Saccharomyces cerevisiae S288C: one gene and its partners. The main gene of each other region encodes a partner of the protein of the gene in region 3 in a complex. Each region holds a gene or a part of one and is shown on either strand. Other genes may lie near its edges. A codon is read from its position in the direction of its gene.

Region 1 (5,779 bases), on a different chromosome or scaffold from region 3:
GCCGTATTGTACAAACCTACTTTCTTAGCAAACCAAATTACGCTTGCTCTTATGCAAGGTCTTGATACTGAAGATTTAACAAATCAATTGGTTAAATTGGATCACGAACATGCATTCATCAAGCATCACCAAGAAATTGACGCAAAATTCGATGAATTAGTGAGGAAATATGATACGTCCAACTGATTTACGTAATATCTCACATTAAACATGTAGGTTTTTTAGAAAAAGAAAAAAATATTTCATGTATATGCCTATATACTATTTTGATAAAGCCGAATAAGATGGTACCATAAATGAGGTTGACATGGCTTGAACAAAATCATATAAAGTATAATTAACAAAGCGGAAACAACATTTGTCACGTTAGAATTATGCGTAAAGTAGCTAATCCTGGCAGAATAATTCAATGATTTTTTTTTAAAAGTATGTACACTATTATTTATTTTCTGGCATTTTGAACTAATTCTTCATTTTCTGTACGACCATGCACCCTTGATCTAAGCACTAGGGAAGTCGACATTATCATCGACCTTAAATGGGGTTGGAAGTGGAGCGTTAACATCTTTCATTTGCCTAACAGTTTCAATTAGTGCTACAGGTTCCTTGGGTTCCCTATCTCTTAAAACCACCACACCGTTATTTCCTTTGAATTTACGTACAGGAACAAATCTGTCGTCCTTAATAAAGGAAATATATCTCGATTGTTGTGGTAGTATACGGGTCATATTGTCGACTTTATAAGGTTTAGAAGAGTACTTATTTTTGTAAAATTCTTCGTCGTTTTCTTTTGTTTCTTTTATGCCTTTTTTATTCGTCTCTCTTTCCTTTTCTTTTTCCTCATGCTCTTTTTTCTTTTCTTCCTCATTTGGACCCTTTTCCTTCTTTGTCTTCTTTGCCCTTGCTTTTGCTCTTGCTGTCGTGGAAAGAACAGCTGTTGCTACCTTCTCTACCTCCTTACCACTTGCTTCCTCATACATCCTCGGATAACTGAATGCATCTTCTTTAGCGTAACAATTCATTTGAAATTTGGGTATAGCTTGATCGCTACCACGAATACCAATGACAGTTGTTGGTGTAAAAGAAAGGGATAAAAAGTGAGCCAGTGGGAACCAGTACCAGAATTGTGAGAACATGACCAAACCAACTACGGACTTGGTATCCAATGTGCCTGTATCCGCATTTTCCAGCTGAATTGTAACATTACGCCCACCGGCATTCATTATACCTTGGGCCACACATGCACCGAATTTGGCTAAACCTTCTTGGTGTTTGTTTGTAATCACGCTCAAAAAATTTTTGTTAATATCAGCAACTTGAGGGTTTAGTTTTTCTGTTTGTTGAATCAAAATCATGGATAAAGCTATCATGGCAGCCTGACGAACAAAATCTACTGGGTCCTTTGTTAGCGGATCTAAAACGTCAATAGCTGATTGTAAACCCTTGCCGGCACAAGCAATCCCAAGAGCAAATGCGGTACCACATCTGACATGAGCGTTATGCGATTTAGATAGAAGTTGGACAATCCTTGGTACAGTGGTATAATCACGCAAGAGAACAAACCCTAATGCGATGACTGCTGCCCTTCTGACATCATCGTTAGAATCCGAGACTGCCACATGCAGTAATCTCTTGACAGCTGAATTATTTCCCGTACCCGCATACGCTAACGCGATTGTGAATGCACCTCCATAGCGTAACAAGGACTCATCACTTGCTAACATCTTAGTAATTAAATCATCAGCTAACTCTTGACGGCCGTAATTTATCAGTGCTAAACCAACGGCTAGACCACGAGTAATATTGCCATGCTGCGTTTCTTGGGAATATGTAAACATATCGTGAATCGCTTCAGGCTTACCTGTTCCGAGCATACAGAGACCCATACCTAATGCAGCTGCTTCTCCAGATGTGGCAGAATCGTTGTACAGAACTTCCTTTAAGGCTTCATAAACTTCAATATTAGCAGAACCCATAGCAGCAAGACCGATACCCAGTGAAGCACCATGTAACAATACATCTACGTCTTCATCGCCTGAAGTTCCGCTATTCTCAACTATTATGTTTTTCAGATAGTCAGTTGTATCACGACCAAAGCCAGCATAAATTAAACCCAAACCATACAATGAACCACCTTTGATAAACCTAGAAGAAGCTCGACTGCCTGGCAAGTAAGGGGCCATGACTTTTTTACCCTCCAATAAATTGCCTTTATGAATTACACCTAAAGAGGCTGTAGCTGTAAATTTAGCCCAATTTTGAGCCTTACCTAACCATGGCAAGTTCGCCTTGATAAATGAATTGTCGGTAGTACCAGCGTGCATAAAACCGTTGGCAACGCTGACTGCGGTGTGGAACAAAGAAAATTTCCCATCCAAAGATGATTTAGACTTGTTTAAAAGACCGATGTCAATGTTTTTATTATTCAAAAGGAAGGTATTGTAATAATCACAAGTCGGTAGCCCAGATAGAATATTCAATAAGGCAGGATCGTAACCCTGGGCAGTTAGTTCGGTTACTAAAATCTCAAGCAACTGCTGAGACGCAGACGAAACCAAATCAAATGCAATTTGAGCAGATAATCCTTCATCGTTCTCTTCCTTTAATTTTTTAAATAGCTGAAGTGCCAATCCGGCGTCATTCAAATTTACAACTACTTTATTGAGCGTTAAGTAATCGCAGTTAGGCATATTCATTAGGAAATCAAATGATTTTCTCAATATCGAGGATCTGAACTTGGAATTTGTCACAGTAGTTATAGCTAAGGTCAATAAGTAGTTAATAATTTTAACGTTTTCAGAAGTGGAATCCTGATCCAATTTGCTCTTTAAAGCACTTTCAATGATATCCAATCTGTAACCTTCTAAGGCAATTCCTAAAGCTAATTTTAATTCTGAAGCTTTCAAACATTTTTCTATCATTCGCTCAAAAATAGAGGTTAATTTTGGGTCAATAATATCCTTGGTGTAAAATTGTTCGTCCTTAGTGTATTGCTTGGAAGCCTCTTGGACGTACATCTCAATACTCTTTGAGACTATAGTTTCAACAAATTGTGACTTTTCGTCTATATCAAAACGATCCTTTGCGGCAAGTGCATACTTCACAGCCGATTCGTATTCACCAAGATTGTAATAAACTTTGGATGCAATCAAAGCAGCCATTTCACGGTCTGAAAAGGTATCGTCATCATACAATGCCTCAATATCCGGCAGTTCATTCGAGATCTCAGACCATAATTGGTCCACAACATTATTTATAGATTCTAGGGCATATGTTTTAACAGAATCTTGATTCTCTCTCAACAATGCTAAAAGAGGAGCAGCAGTCGTCAAAGACATCTTTTCCGGTTATATTTGAACTCAATCTATTCTGGGTGGTCTTTTACTGGATAGAGTTCCACAATTTTTTTTCCCTTGGATTCAAAGCATTATACTTTTATGTATCCAGTTTTGCCACCGAAAATAAATGAAATGCGCCCTTCTCCTATTGAAAAGCAATATGCTATTACCCGCACTAAACCCTCGAAATAATGGCAATAAGAGGCAGATCGAAAAAGCTCGACAGATTATCGTCCATGAATCGTGAGACAGCACTTTGTGGAGTTTAATGGGCAATCAAAGGCTATTTTTTTACTCGATTCCGTTTCAACATATCTTACATACTATGAAGATAGGGGAGGATTTTAAATCTATACATATATTTTTATTTATCTGAGTAATTAGTATAATAACCTGATGGAAACTTTGGCAGAAGTTTGGTTCAACTTTTCATATATATCCTTGATTTCACTTTGATTAACAGAAGAGATGTCTGCCATTAGATAAGCGATCTCGCCGTGAGAATCAGAAAACTGTTTCTCGATATTATGATCGGATAAGATATCATTAACGGTCTTCAAAACACCAGGAACGTTACGATGAATATACAAGACACGTACTGTGTTCTCTTGATCGTAGTCCAAAGACTTCAAACTGACTTCTGGGAAGTTCACAGAACCGACAGAGTTACCTTCATTGATGTATTTGGACAATGCAGTAGCCACCTCAATACCGATTGAACTTTGAGCTTCTTCTGTAGAGCCACCAATATGTGGTGTCAGGATTATATTTGGTAATGAAACCAACTCAGAAGTCCAGCTGTTAAGTTCATCGTTAAATGAACCTTCACCGTTCTTAGCTGGTTCATGTGGATAAACATCTAAAGCAGCACCTGCAATTTTGTTGGCCTTGACGGCTTGGATCAGAGATGGAATGTCCACGACAGTACCTCTTGAGGCATTAATAACATAAGCCCCGTCCTTCATAGCAGCGAATTGTGGAGCAGATAACATTTTTTCAGTTTCTGGAGTAGCTGGTACATGTAGTGTTACAAAATCAGATTTATTCAACAATTCATCTAATGTAGAAACTTGTCTGGCAGTACCTAAGGCCATAATTGTCACGATATCATAGTATAGCACATGCAGGCCCATAGCTTCTGCAAGAACTGATAATTGCGAACCAATGTGACCATACCCAATAATACCGAGAGTTTTTCCTCTTACTTCCCAACACCTAGCAGCGACTTTATTCCATGTACCTGTATGCAGTTCAATGGATCTATCACCTAATTGTCTTGCTAAACTAATGATCTCACCAATTACCAATTCTGCTACGGATCTTGAATTGGAGAATGGCGAATTGAAAACAGCAATACCTTTACTAGCGGCATATTTTAGGTCTACTTGATTGGTACCTATGCAAAAACAACCAATACAAACTAGATTCCTGGCATGCTGTAGTATTTTTTCAGTCAATCTAGTTTTGGATCTTATACCGATAGCGTGTACGTCTTTGATTTTTTCAATCAATTCATCCTCAGGTAGAGAAGACTTGTGGAACTCTACTTGGTAACCCTGATCCTTGAAGATTTTGATTGCAGTTGCATTGACATTTTCCAACAGTAGAATATTCATGTCACCAGTAGAAAAAGGTTTTAAAGCCTTTGGTTGCTTTGTAATGCTTACACGACGAGGTAGTGTGTTCATAAATGACTGAGTTGGTGAGGTTGAGACTGCACCAGGAGAGCCAGAAAAGTTCATGGCACGTTGGAATGAATCTTGTAAATTATCGGCAGCTGAATAAGACATGTTAGGGAGGAAATACCCGAAATCAGTGTTTGTTACTTTTTAATGTTACAATAATCTACAGCTAAAACAGACAAAGTATTTTTTAATGTAGTAGCTCGTAACCTTCTTATGTATTAAACCTGGGAGATTCCATTAGTTTTCATAACGGTGACTCGTTTCCAGCGTGAAGAATCTAGCCCACAATTAATCTGAGCGCTGTCCGGCTGACGGCCAAATTCTTCGGTGTAAAGAAAAAAATGTGGCATTTTGTGTATATTTGGCAAGAACAAGAGTGTAATATTATTGATAGTGCACGTGACATTATGAAAAACAATAGCACTTATTAACTATGCTAAAAATTTTGTAGCTACCGATTCTATCACGCTTCCTGGTACGGGTGCAGGCAAAGATTGCTAGGGAATTAAGGGTCAGCCAGTATAAACGACAGTAAATGGAATAAAAAAGGTTTATTTAGCAATACTATTGATATCGATATTTGCCGAACTTGCTAAAGACTCCCATAAAGAGTACAATTGCTCCTGCAAGCCTTCATTAACCATGTTTGCGAACCCCATTGAATGTTTACACCAAACAATTCCATTGCTTTTGTTGTCTTTGATTATGTAATTGACGCCGATATTCCAACAGTAAGTGGCTATAGTTTCTAACTCT
Region 2 (4,182 bases), on a different chromosome or scaffold from region 3:
ATCTAATATCATGAGTCAAAATGAAAGGAAAAATGTTCGAAGAAAGTATAGGCTAAAGTGACATAAGTTAATCGAAAAAAAAATATTCAAAGTTTAATTCTTGTTTACTAAATGAAAAAAATATTTCACTGTTTAAAGATATGTCTATAGGTGTAGTAATTAATGTTCAGAGTTTTGCTAATCAAACGAAAAAATGACTCTTTACGCTGCTATTAATGTCATTTAAATACCATAAACAGTTTACCGTTTTGACTTTTCACTTTTTTTTTGGGTGTCTTCTTTCCCCTGAAAAATTGAAAAACTAAAATTCCATTAATTGTCACCTTATGTTTTGTGTAAGCAAGTGAAGAGAATGAGAGCAATACGTGGCCATTTTCCATTTGAGTTATATATATGCATAGATAATTTTATCTCACGTACGTAAATACACATTTCGATTAGTAACAGATTTAAAATCAAAACCGGATCTGAGATAATCCGACACTTACTCGAAAATCTCTTCATTTAGCTTGCAAACCGTGCATGATTTCCTCTTTTGTAATTAAATGGCCTATTGTTTCTATATGTTCTAATAGTTCGTCAACATTATGTGACCATTCGTTCAATAATTGGCTTGAGTTTTTTGGTTTTTCAAAATTCACGATTTTGGCTGGGCGATTAACTTTAGCGTATATGATGCCCTGGTTTACCAAATCACTGATGTATGTTTCCGTCTGGCTCTCCGTTAGGTCCAGCAATTCATTCAATCTTAGTAAAGTAATTCTGGAATAGTATTCGGAAATGACTCTTAAATTGTGCTCGATGACCCTTTTTTGTAAATCTTCCCAGTGATGCTTATTAGCTTCTCCACCAAATGCCAAATCATCCTCATTTAAGACGGGCTCATAGGTTTTTTGAACAATTGGCCATCTCATCAACTCATTCGTAGTAAACAATTTTACTAAAGATTCTTGGCTTTCTAATTTTTTCAGGTTGTTATCATTCTGGATTTTGTGAATTAAATCATTTTGTAAATTGCCGTAAGGTGAAAGGACTAAGAAATATACAATGTGCGATAAAACAGGTTTCCACTTAGCCTCATCTGATTTAATGGCGTCTGTTTGATAAATTTCTTGCAGATACTGCGCAACTTCTAGGTATTCTCTCTTGTGCAAACTAATTTTTACCAGAAGATTATAATATTCTAGCTTCAATGACTCGTATTTTGGATTTTTAAAAGTTTTTTTCAGAATTTTTCTTGAAAGCACCGTGGCTTGGGAATAATCACCTTTTAATATACTCAATTCCATTTGCTCTAATATAAACTGAATTTTCTCAGACATTTCCATGGAGCCATAGGTCTCAACCTGTAACTCACACAAGATGTCTGCAGCTTCATCAATCTTACCCTCTTCTTTCTTAATTTCCACCAAATCTTTGGTGACCCTAGCTCTTTCCACTTCTACAAATATTTTGTTCTCTGTAACCACCCTGATAGTTTCAATGACACTAATTCTGGTGTTTAAATCCAAAGATTTCGAGCTTTTCAAATATTCCATAACCTTTTGTATCATATACTGAATTGACAATTTCAACTGACCATGCTTTTTTGAGAGTAGAGTCAATTGCTCATTTAGGTCGTCCCACTTATTCCTTGATGCTAGCAGATCTACAATCTTGGCCAAAACTTCTTTCGAGGAGGCCAGATCTGAAGCTTGTCTGGTTTTCTTCTCCAACACTAACAGTTGGTCTAAAGCAGAGTTACAATCATTTTGAGCGAGCGAATCGATCTTAGGAAACTCTTCCTTCAAAATTTGGCTATAATCCTTGTCAGCCTTAATTGGTGCATCTCTTGACATCTTTCTCTACGTTTACTCTAGCAACAAAAATGGTAGTGAGCCCAGCAGTATATTCCTCTACTCTCTTAATTCAAGATTATCTCTGATGTAGTGTCCTGTTATGGTTTTTCCTTGGATTCCCCTTTGCATTTTGCCACCGAAAAGTCAAAAAGATCACATACAAGACGGGTAATATTGGGGCGATGAGCCGTACAGAACGAGTGAAAAATTTTAGGATTTATTAGGAATAATAATGATAATTTAGAGATGAGCATTTAGCGAGAAGCATCTGAAGGTTGCACTAATTATTACTGTAAATAGTACAGTTGAGAAGCAAATAAAAGGGAAGATCAAATACATGGCCGGTTCACAACTTAAGAATTTAAAGGCCGCCTTGAAGGCCCGTGGACTCACAGGTCAAACAAACGTCAAAAGTAAGAATAAAAAGAATTCCAAAAGACAAGCGAAGGAGTATGATCGTGAAGAAAAAAAAAAGGCCATTGCTGAAATCAGAGAAGAGTTTAATCCGTTTGAAATAAAGGCTGCAAGGAATAAGAGGAGAGATGGTCTGCCTTCTAAAACTGCTGATCGTATTGCTGTGGGTAAGCCTGGTATCTCTAAACAGATCGGTGAAGAACAAAGAAAGCGTGCATTTGAAGCAAGAAAAATGATGAAGAATAAACGTGGTGGTGTGATCGATAAGAGATTTGGTGAAAGAGACAAGTTGTTGACGGAAGAAGAAAAAATGTTGGAACGTTTCACCAGAGAAAGACAAAGCCAATCAAAGAGAAACGCAAATTTATTCAATCTTGAAGACGATGAAGACGACGGTGACATGTTTGGAGACGGTCTTACACATTTAGGTCAATCGCTGTCCCTAGAAGATGAGCTTGCCAATGATGAAGAGGATTTTTTAGCTTCCAAACGATTCAATGAAGATGATGCTGAGCTACAGCAACCTCAAAGAAAAAAAACCAAAGCTGAAGTCATGAAAGAGGTCATTGCCAAATCAAAATTTTACAAACAAGAAAGACAAAAGGCTCAAGGTATAATGGAAGATCAAATAGATAATCTGGATGATAATTTCGAGGATGTTATGTCTGAATTGATGATGACGCAACCCAAGAAGAATCCAATGGAACCTAAGACCGATCTAGATAAGGAGTATGATATCAAAGTGAAAGAACTACAATTGGACAAAAGAGCTGCACCCTCTGATAGAACTAAAACTGAAGAGGAGAAAAACGCTGAAGCTGAAGAAAAAAAACGGGAGTTGGAACAACAGCGTCTTGATCGTATGAACGGTATGATTGAATTAGAAGAAGGCGAAGAAAGAGGAGTAGAGGATTTGGATGATGGATTCTGGGAAAATGAAGAAGACTATGAAGACGATAATGACGGTATTGCTGATTCTGATGATGATATCAAATTTGAAGATCAAGGCAGAGATGAAGGGTTTTCTCAAATTTTAAAGAAAAAGAACATTTCCATTTCATGCCCTAGAACTCATGATGCGTTATTAGATCAAGTAAAAAAATTAGACTTAGATGATCATCCTAAGATTGTTAAGAATATTATCAAAGCTTACCAACCAAAATTGGCTGAAGGTAATAAGGAAAAGTTAGGAAAATTCACCGCTGTTTTACTGAGACACATCATTTTTCTAAGCAATCAAAACTACCTTAAAAACGTTCAAAGTTTTAAACGTACACAAAATGCATTGATCTCAATTCTAAAATCCCTTTCAGAGAAATATAATAGAGAGCTTTCCGAGGAGTGTAGAGATTATATCAATGAAATGCAAGCACGCTATAAAAAGAACCATTTTGATGCTCTATCAAATGGTGATCTGGTATTTTTTTCCATTATTGGTATTCTTTTCTCCACCTCGGACCAGTACCATTTAGTAATAACTCCAGCATTGATTTTAATGAGCCAGTTCCTGGAACAAATCAAGTTTAATTCTTTAAAGAGGATAGCTTTTGGCGCTGTCTTGGTAAGGATTGTTTCACAATATCAACGCATTTCCAAACGGTACATACCGGAGGTGGTTTACTTCTTTCAAAAAATATTACTCACTTTTATAGTTGAGAAAGAAAATCAAGAAAAACCATTAGATTTTGAAAATATTAGACTAGACTCTTACGAGTTGGGGCTTCCATTGGACGTTGACTTTACAAAAAAGAGATCAACTATTATTCCATTACATACCTTGTCAACAATGGATACCGAGGCACATCCGGTTGATCAATGTGTCTCCGTTTTACTAAATGTTATGGAATCTTTAGATGCAACTATCTCTACTGTGTGGAAGAGCTTACCTGCTTTCAATGAAATTATTTTACCGATTCAGCAGTTATTAAGT
Region 3 (4,396 bases):
AAAAAAAAAAAAAACTGGAAAATCTTGATAAAAAAATGACGAAATAGGAAAAAAAATTGGCAGCAATCTAACCATGCTCTTCATGGTTCATCATTTAGTGGGCGTTAACCTAAAGCGCTGTTTATAATGGAGGTTGATAACAAAAGGAGACATTCAGAAGATGAGTTAAAACAGGAGGCAGTAAAAAAGATAAAGTCTCAGGAACCAAACTATGCCTATCTTGAGACTGTAGTAAGAGAAAAACTAGATTTCGATTCTGAGAAAATTTGCTGCATTACTCTGTCCCCTTTGAATGTATATTGTTGCCTCGTGTGTGGACATTATTATCAGGGGAGACATGAAAAGAGTCCTGCTTTCATACATTCAATTGATGAAAACCATCACGTCTTCTTGAATTTGACAAGTTTGAAGTTTTACATGTTGCCGCAAAATGTCCAAATTTTACATGACGGTGAGGTTCAATTGTTGAACAGCATAAAATTTGCAGCTTATCCGACTTATTGTCCAAAAGATCTAGAAGATTTTCCGAGACAGTGTTTTGATTTGAGCAATCGCACATATCTGAATGGATTTATAGGGTTCACCAATGCGGCAACTTATGACTATGCGCATAGTGTATTGCTTTTGATATCGCACATGGTTCCAGTGCGGGACCACTTCCTACTGAATCATTTTGATAATCAAGGGGAATTTATCAAAAGGTTATCCATATGTGTAAAGAAAATTTGGTCCCCTAAACTATTCAAACATCATCTTTCAGTTGACGATTTTGTATCCTATTTGAAAGTTAGAGAAGGTTTAAATTTAAATCCTATAGACCCGCGTCTCTTCCTTTTGTGGCTATTCAATAAAATTTGCTCGTCCTCGAACGACTTAAAGTCAATTTTAAACCATTCTTGTAAAGGCAAAGTAAAGATAGCAAAAGTTGAAAATAAGCCTGAGGCCAGTGAGTCTGTTACAGGAAAAGTCATTGTCAAACCATTTTGGGTTCTGACTCTCGATTTGCCGGAGTTTTCACCCTTTGAAGATGGCAACAGCGTTGATGATCTCCCACAAATAAATATCACTAAATTATTGACTAAATTTACTAAGTCAAGAAGCTCCTCTACTAGCACCGTTTTTGAACTAACGCGATTACCGCAGTTTTTAATATTTCATTTCAATAGGTTTGACCGTAACAGTGATCATCCTGTCAAAAATAGAAACCAAACGTTGGTGGAATTTTCCAGTGAACTTGAAATTTTGCACGTCAAGTATCGCTTAAAAGCAAATGTGGTCCATGTGGTCATTAAACAACCATCCACAGATGGAAACGCATTTAATGGTGATGAAAAAAGCCATTGGATTACTCAGCTGTATGATAACAAAAGTGAAAAATGGATAGAAATAGATGGCATAAATACGACAGAGAGAGAAGCCGAGCTTTTATTTTTGAAGGAAACGTTTATACAAGTATGGGAAAAGCAAGAGTGAAAGAAAAGAAAGTAAAAAAAAAAATTGGCACTGGGACTACCAGTAGCCATTTCATTTTTACTGTTATTTAAGGAGCCTTTTCCCTCCTAACGCGTTTTCTCTTTCCCATTCATTCCATTAACTACTTCATTAGAATTTTTAGAAAAATACAATATAATATATATGTAGTGGGCTTTCTAGTTATTTAATGCATAATGACTTTATAAAATTTGTTTATTTAATTGCCACTGAATTAACACCCGCCGTCAGCACAGAAACAATATTGTTCTCTAGTGTCTCATCTGCTGTTTCGGAAAGGTGCTTCTTTGGATCTTGCCTACCAACGTATCTTGTCTTAAGTTCTTCTTCGGTTAATTCCTTTTCCTCTTCTATTCTCTTAGAGTACTGTTCGGCTATCTTAACCATACTCTTTGTAGCAGCCAAATTTGATTCTTCTTTTTCTTCATAATCGTACATCTTAAGACCTGATTGCCACTGTTCTTTATGTAAGTTCATTAACATCTTGGTTTCCTTCGCGGTTTTATGATAATCAATATTTAAAGAATAGTAATGCCTATTCAGACCGTGAATTAAGGCTTGAATGTTGGCCTTGTTCAATAAGCCTGTGTTGGAGGTTGTTTGTCTAGGCTCTAAGTTATTTATCAATGCGCCCGTGTCAATCAATCTAAAAGCATCGATGACAACTTTTCCCTTAACGGATTGAATAGGGTCAACAACGACAGCAACAGCTCTGCTGTTTAGTTGTTCAAAAGATTTTTGAGTATTAACATCAACAGAAGATAGCCAACAGCCAAACCCTGGATGAGAGTGGTACCAGCCAACGACCATTTGGTCTCTGCCCGTTTGTTTTAACATGTCCATCATCTTCGCTTGGAAAACATCATCGACAGCCTCAACAGAAACTCCGGTACCCGATTGAGGCATCGCAAACACGTCCACAACGTTAACCGTATAATCATCGACAAACTCACCTAACATCAACCCCATGACTTCCATGGGAACACCAGCTCTACCATGCTTTAGCATCTTTAAAAGCGCAATCGAAGAAATATAAACAGTTTCTTTCGTATCGTCACGGCCGGTGTCCGCGGACCCCACCTTACTATTCATCATCAATCTCTGTAGTCGTTCCATTATGTCTCGTCTTTCTTGTTAAGTCCTCTTAATTGTGTTATCACCTGCTATTTTTCTTTCTCAATATTAATACTGGTCATAAACCGTTTCTTAGCTTAAAGGCTTTTCTTGTGAATTTGCCACCTTGGAGGTCCGAAATCATCAGCGACGTGCGTTTCAGTATAAACAAGGGGCCGTATTTATCATTTAGAAACAATTCGAGTCAAGGGTCCCAAGAGCTTATAACTGCCAGGAGTTGCGAGCTAAGTCTTCAATTAAGTCTATAAGGATGAGTGGAAATCAAATGGCTATGGGATCAGAACAACAACAGACCGTAGGGTCCCGAACGGTGAGTGTGGAAGAGGTTCCCGCAGTTTTGCAGCTTCGAGCAACTCAAGATCCTCCAAGAAGCCAGGAGGCAATGCCTACAAGGCACAATGTAAGATGGGAAGAAAATGTGATTGACAATGAAAACATGAATAAAAAAAAGACCAAGATATGCTGCATTTTTCATCCACAAAATGAGGATGAAGAAGAGTGCAACCATCATTCAGATGATGATGGATCCTCTTCTTCCGGATCCTCTTCTTCAGAATCTGAGAATGAGAAGGATCTTGACTTTAACGAACGTAGACAAAGAAGATTGGAAAGGCGCCATCGTAAACTTGAGAAAAAAAGGTCATATAGCCCCAATGCTTATGAAATCCAACCAGATTATTCTGAATACAGGCGAAAACAGCAGGAAAAGAAGGACTGAGGCTTTGTACAACGAAAGCCAAAATATTCGATGAAGCAGCAAATGGCTTTTTATACTTTTACTAAGTATGCGCGCATACTGATATATAGATATAAACAAAAATATACAATATTTAAAAAAATCATAGAGAGACGTCTATATTAATTAAAGTGCTGTACGTTTCCCTTGGCATTCTGTATTGAATCATACCAGCATAAATCATACATTGTCTCGCAACATTTTTTAAGGAATCAATTTGTTGACCTTTTGTGGACGATTGATACTTACTTTCGTTCAAGATATGAATCATGTTCGATATACAGCTTAGAGTGATAATCAACAAATTTGGAATATTTTTCACAATGTTGTCATCTAAATTAGAGAAATCTTGTGCTTTCTTTCTAGCAGATAGCTCGTCTGAGAAAGGAAGTAAATCCAATAACTCCATTTGGGATAGTGTTTCTTGCCATTGTTTATTGAAATATAGCTCCCTGATAGAGGAGATATTTAAGAGCAGCATACAAATTTCTTTGTTTTTAACATGAATCTGTCTCGATATACCAGCATTATCAAAATATATGGACGCCATCCTCCTAGCCAACAAGACAGGATTCGTCTCGCTATTGTCATCAGGTCCAACCAATGGTTGATCTAAATCTGACGCACTAAGTGTATCACTTAATAAACTATTGACGAGGGTAATAACTATGTCATATTCTTCAGCAAGCTGGTACAGTAATATACTATCATATATTCTGCCGTCTTCGTCTGCCCTTCTTGCTGCTTGTTCTGTAATTGTATGCAAAAACTCCTTTTCATCACGAACGTGTAATAAAGGTTGTCTTTCTTCGATCACCCCCGGAATTCTAGCTCCATCGCGTCCAATTTTACCCAAAAGAACAGTAAATTCCTTAGTTTCCAATACTAGCTCCCTCAACGCCTCATGGCATAACTCGACATCGGTAGGTCCTTCATTTAGAGTTATTAAAACCAAATATTCGACAGCAACTCTAGGATCTGAATACCTAAAGGACTTGGTATAATTAGCTAGTATGTTTGCGAACCTGATATCCC

Evidence for each region.
Region 1: the proteins of RPN11 (region 3) and RPN2 are in contact, whole or in part, in a cryo-EM structure (PDB 5MPE), measured with the Saccharomyces cerevisiae proteins. Residues at the interface, in NP_116659.1 of Saccharomyces cerevisiae: Thr18 (codon at 2,556), Gly19 (codon at 2,553), Arg20 (codon at 2,550), Asp21 (codon at 2,547), Val58 (codon at 2,436), Asp59 (codon at 2,433), Tyr61 (codon at 2,427), Asn167 (codon at 2,109), Leu168 (codon at 2,106), Pro170 (codon at 2,100), Arg171 (codon at 2,097), Thr173 (codon at 2,091), Thr174 (codon at 2,088), Ser175 (codon at 2,085), Asn176 (codon at 2,082), Thr177 (codon at 2,079), Leu179 (codon at 2,073), Lys182 (codon at 2,064); in NP_012190.1 of Saccharomyces cerevisiae: Lys324 (codon at 2,369), Phe325 (codon at 2,366), Ser326 (codon at 2,363), Leu327 (codon at 2,360), Gln360 (codon at 2,261), Asn361 (codon at 2,258), Trp362 (codon at 2,255), Arg398 (codon at 2,147), Phe399 (codon at 2,144), Glu437 (codon at 2,030), Ala475 (codon at 1,916), Gln509 (codon at 1,814), His510 (codon at 1,811), Gly511 (codon at 1,808), Asn512 (codon at 1,805), Phe651 (codon at 1,388), Glu692 (codon at 1,265), Leu694 (codon at 1,259), Trp740 (codon at 1,121), Trp742 (codon at 1,115), Phe743 (codon at 1,112).
Region 2: the proteins of RPN11 (region 3) and RPN5 are in contact, whole or in part, in a cryo-EM structure (PDB 3JCK), measured with the Saccharomyces cerevisiae proteins. Residues at the interface, in NP_116659.1 of Saccharomyces cerevisiae: Pro46 (codon at 2,472), Met47 (codon at 2,469), Glu48 (codon at 2,466), Gln73 (codon at 2,391), Ser74 (codon at 2,388), Gly75 (codon at 2,385), Thr76 (codon at 2,382), Gly77 (codon at 2,379), His111 (codon at 2,277), Phe114 (codon at 2,268), Trp117 (codon at 2,259), Ser119 (codon at 2,253), Asp122 (codon at 2,244), Lys148 (codon at 2,166), Gly149 (codon at 2,163), Gln186 (codon at 2,052), Ile189 (codon at 2,043), Trp221 (codon at 1,947), Gln222 (codon at 1,944), Leu225 (codon at 1,935), Lys226 (codon at 1,932), Met227 (codon at 1,929), Asp229 (codon at 1,923), Tyr230 (codon at 1,920), Glu231 (codon at 1,917), Ala298 (codon at 1,716), Asn301 (codon at 1,707), Ser302 (codon at 1,704), Ile305 (codon at 1,695); in NP_010134.1 of Saccharomyces cerevisiae: Gln242 (codon at 1,115), Tyr273 (codon at 1,022), Gly274 (codon at 1,019), Asn275 (codon at 1,016), Leu276 (codon at 1,013), Asn278 (codon at 1,007), Asp279 (codon at 1,004), Leu280 (codon at 1,001), His282 (codon at 995), Lys283 (codon at 992), Asn385 (codon at 686), Gly387 (codon at 680), Ser409 (codon at 614), Leu412 (codon at 605), Asn413 (codon at 602), Trp415 (codon at 596), Ser416 (codon at 593), His417 (codon at 590), Asp420 (codon at 581), Glu421 (codon at 578), Leu422 (codon at 575), Leu423 (codon at 572), Glu424 (codon at 569), Glu427 (codon at 560).

What each region holds. Positions count from the first base shown.
Region 1 is NC_001141.2:217,363-223,141, forward strand, and holds RPN2 (proteasome regulatory particle base subunit RPN2), read right to left. Parts: upstream 3,339-5,779; coding exon 501-3,338; downstream 1-500. Other genes in the region: SEC28 (coatomer subunit epsilon), read left to right, coding at 1-186; phosphoglycerate dehydrogenase SER33, read right to left, coding at 3,719-5,128; SPO22 (Spo22p), read right to left, coding at 5,575-5,779. UniProt on the Saccharomyces cerevisiae protein: Acts as a regulatory subunit of the 26S proteasome which is involved in the ATP-dependent degradation of ubiquitinated proteins.
Region 2 is NC_001136.10:188,580-192,761, reverse strand, and holds RPN5 (proteasome regulatory particle lid subunit RPN5), read right to left. Parts: upstream 1,839-4,182; coding exon 501-1,838; downstream 1-500. Other genes in the region: LDB17 (Ldb17p), read right to left, coding at 1-12; snoRNA-binding rRNA-processing protein NOP14, read left to right, coding at 2,176-4,182. UniProt on the Saccharomyces cerevisiae protein: Acts as a regulatory subunit of the 26S proteasome which is involved in the ATP-dependent degradation of ubiquitinated proteins.
Region 3 is NC_001138.5:151,604-155,999, reverse strand, and holds RPN11 (proteasome regulatory particle lid subunit RPN11), read right to left. Parts: upstream 2,608-4,396; coding exon 1,687-2,607; downstream 1-1,686. Other genes in the region: mRNA splicing protein SAD1, read left to right, coding at 127-1,473; type 1 protein phosphatase-activating protein YPI1, read left to right, coding at 2,876-3,343; linker nucleoporin NIC96, read right to left, coding at 3,465-4,396. UniProt on the Saccharomyces cerevisiae protein: Component of the lid subcomplex of the 26S proteasome, a multiprotein complex involved in the ATP-dependent degradation of ubiquitinated proteins.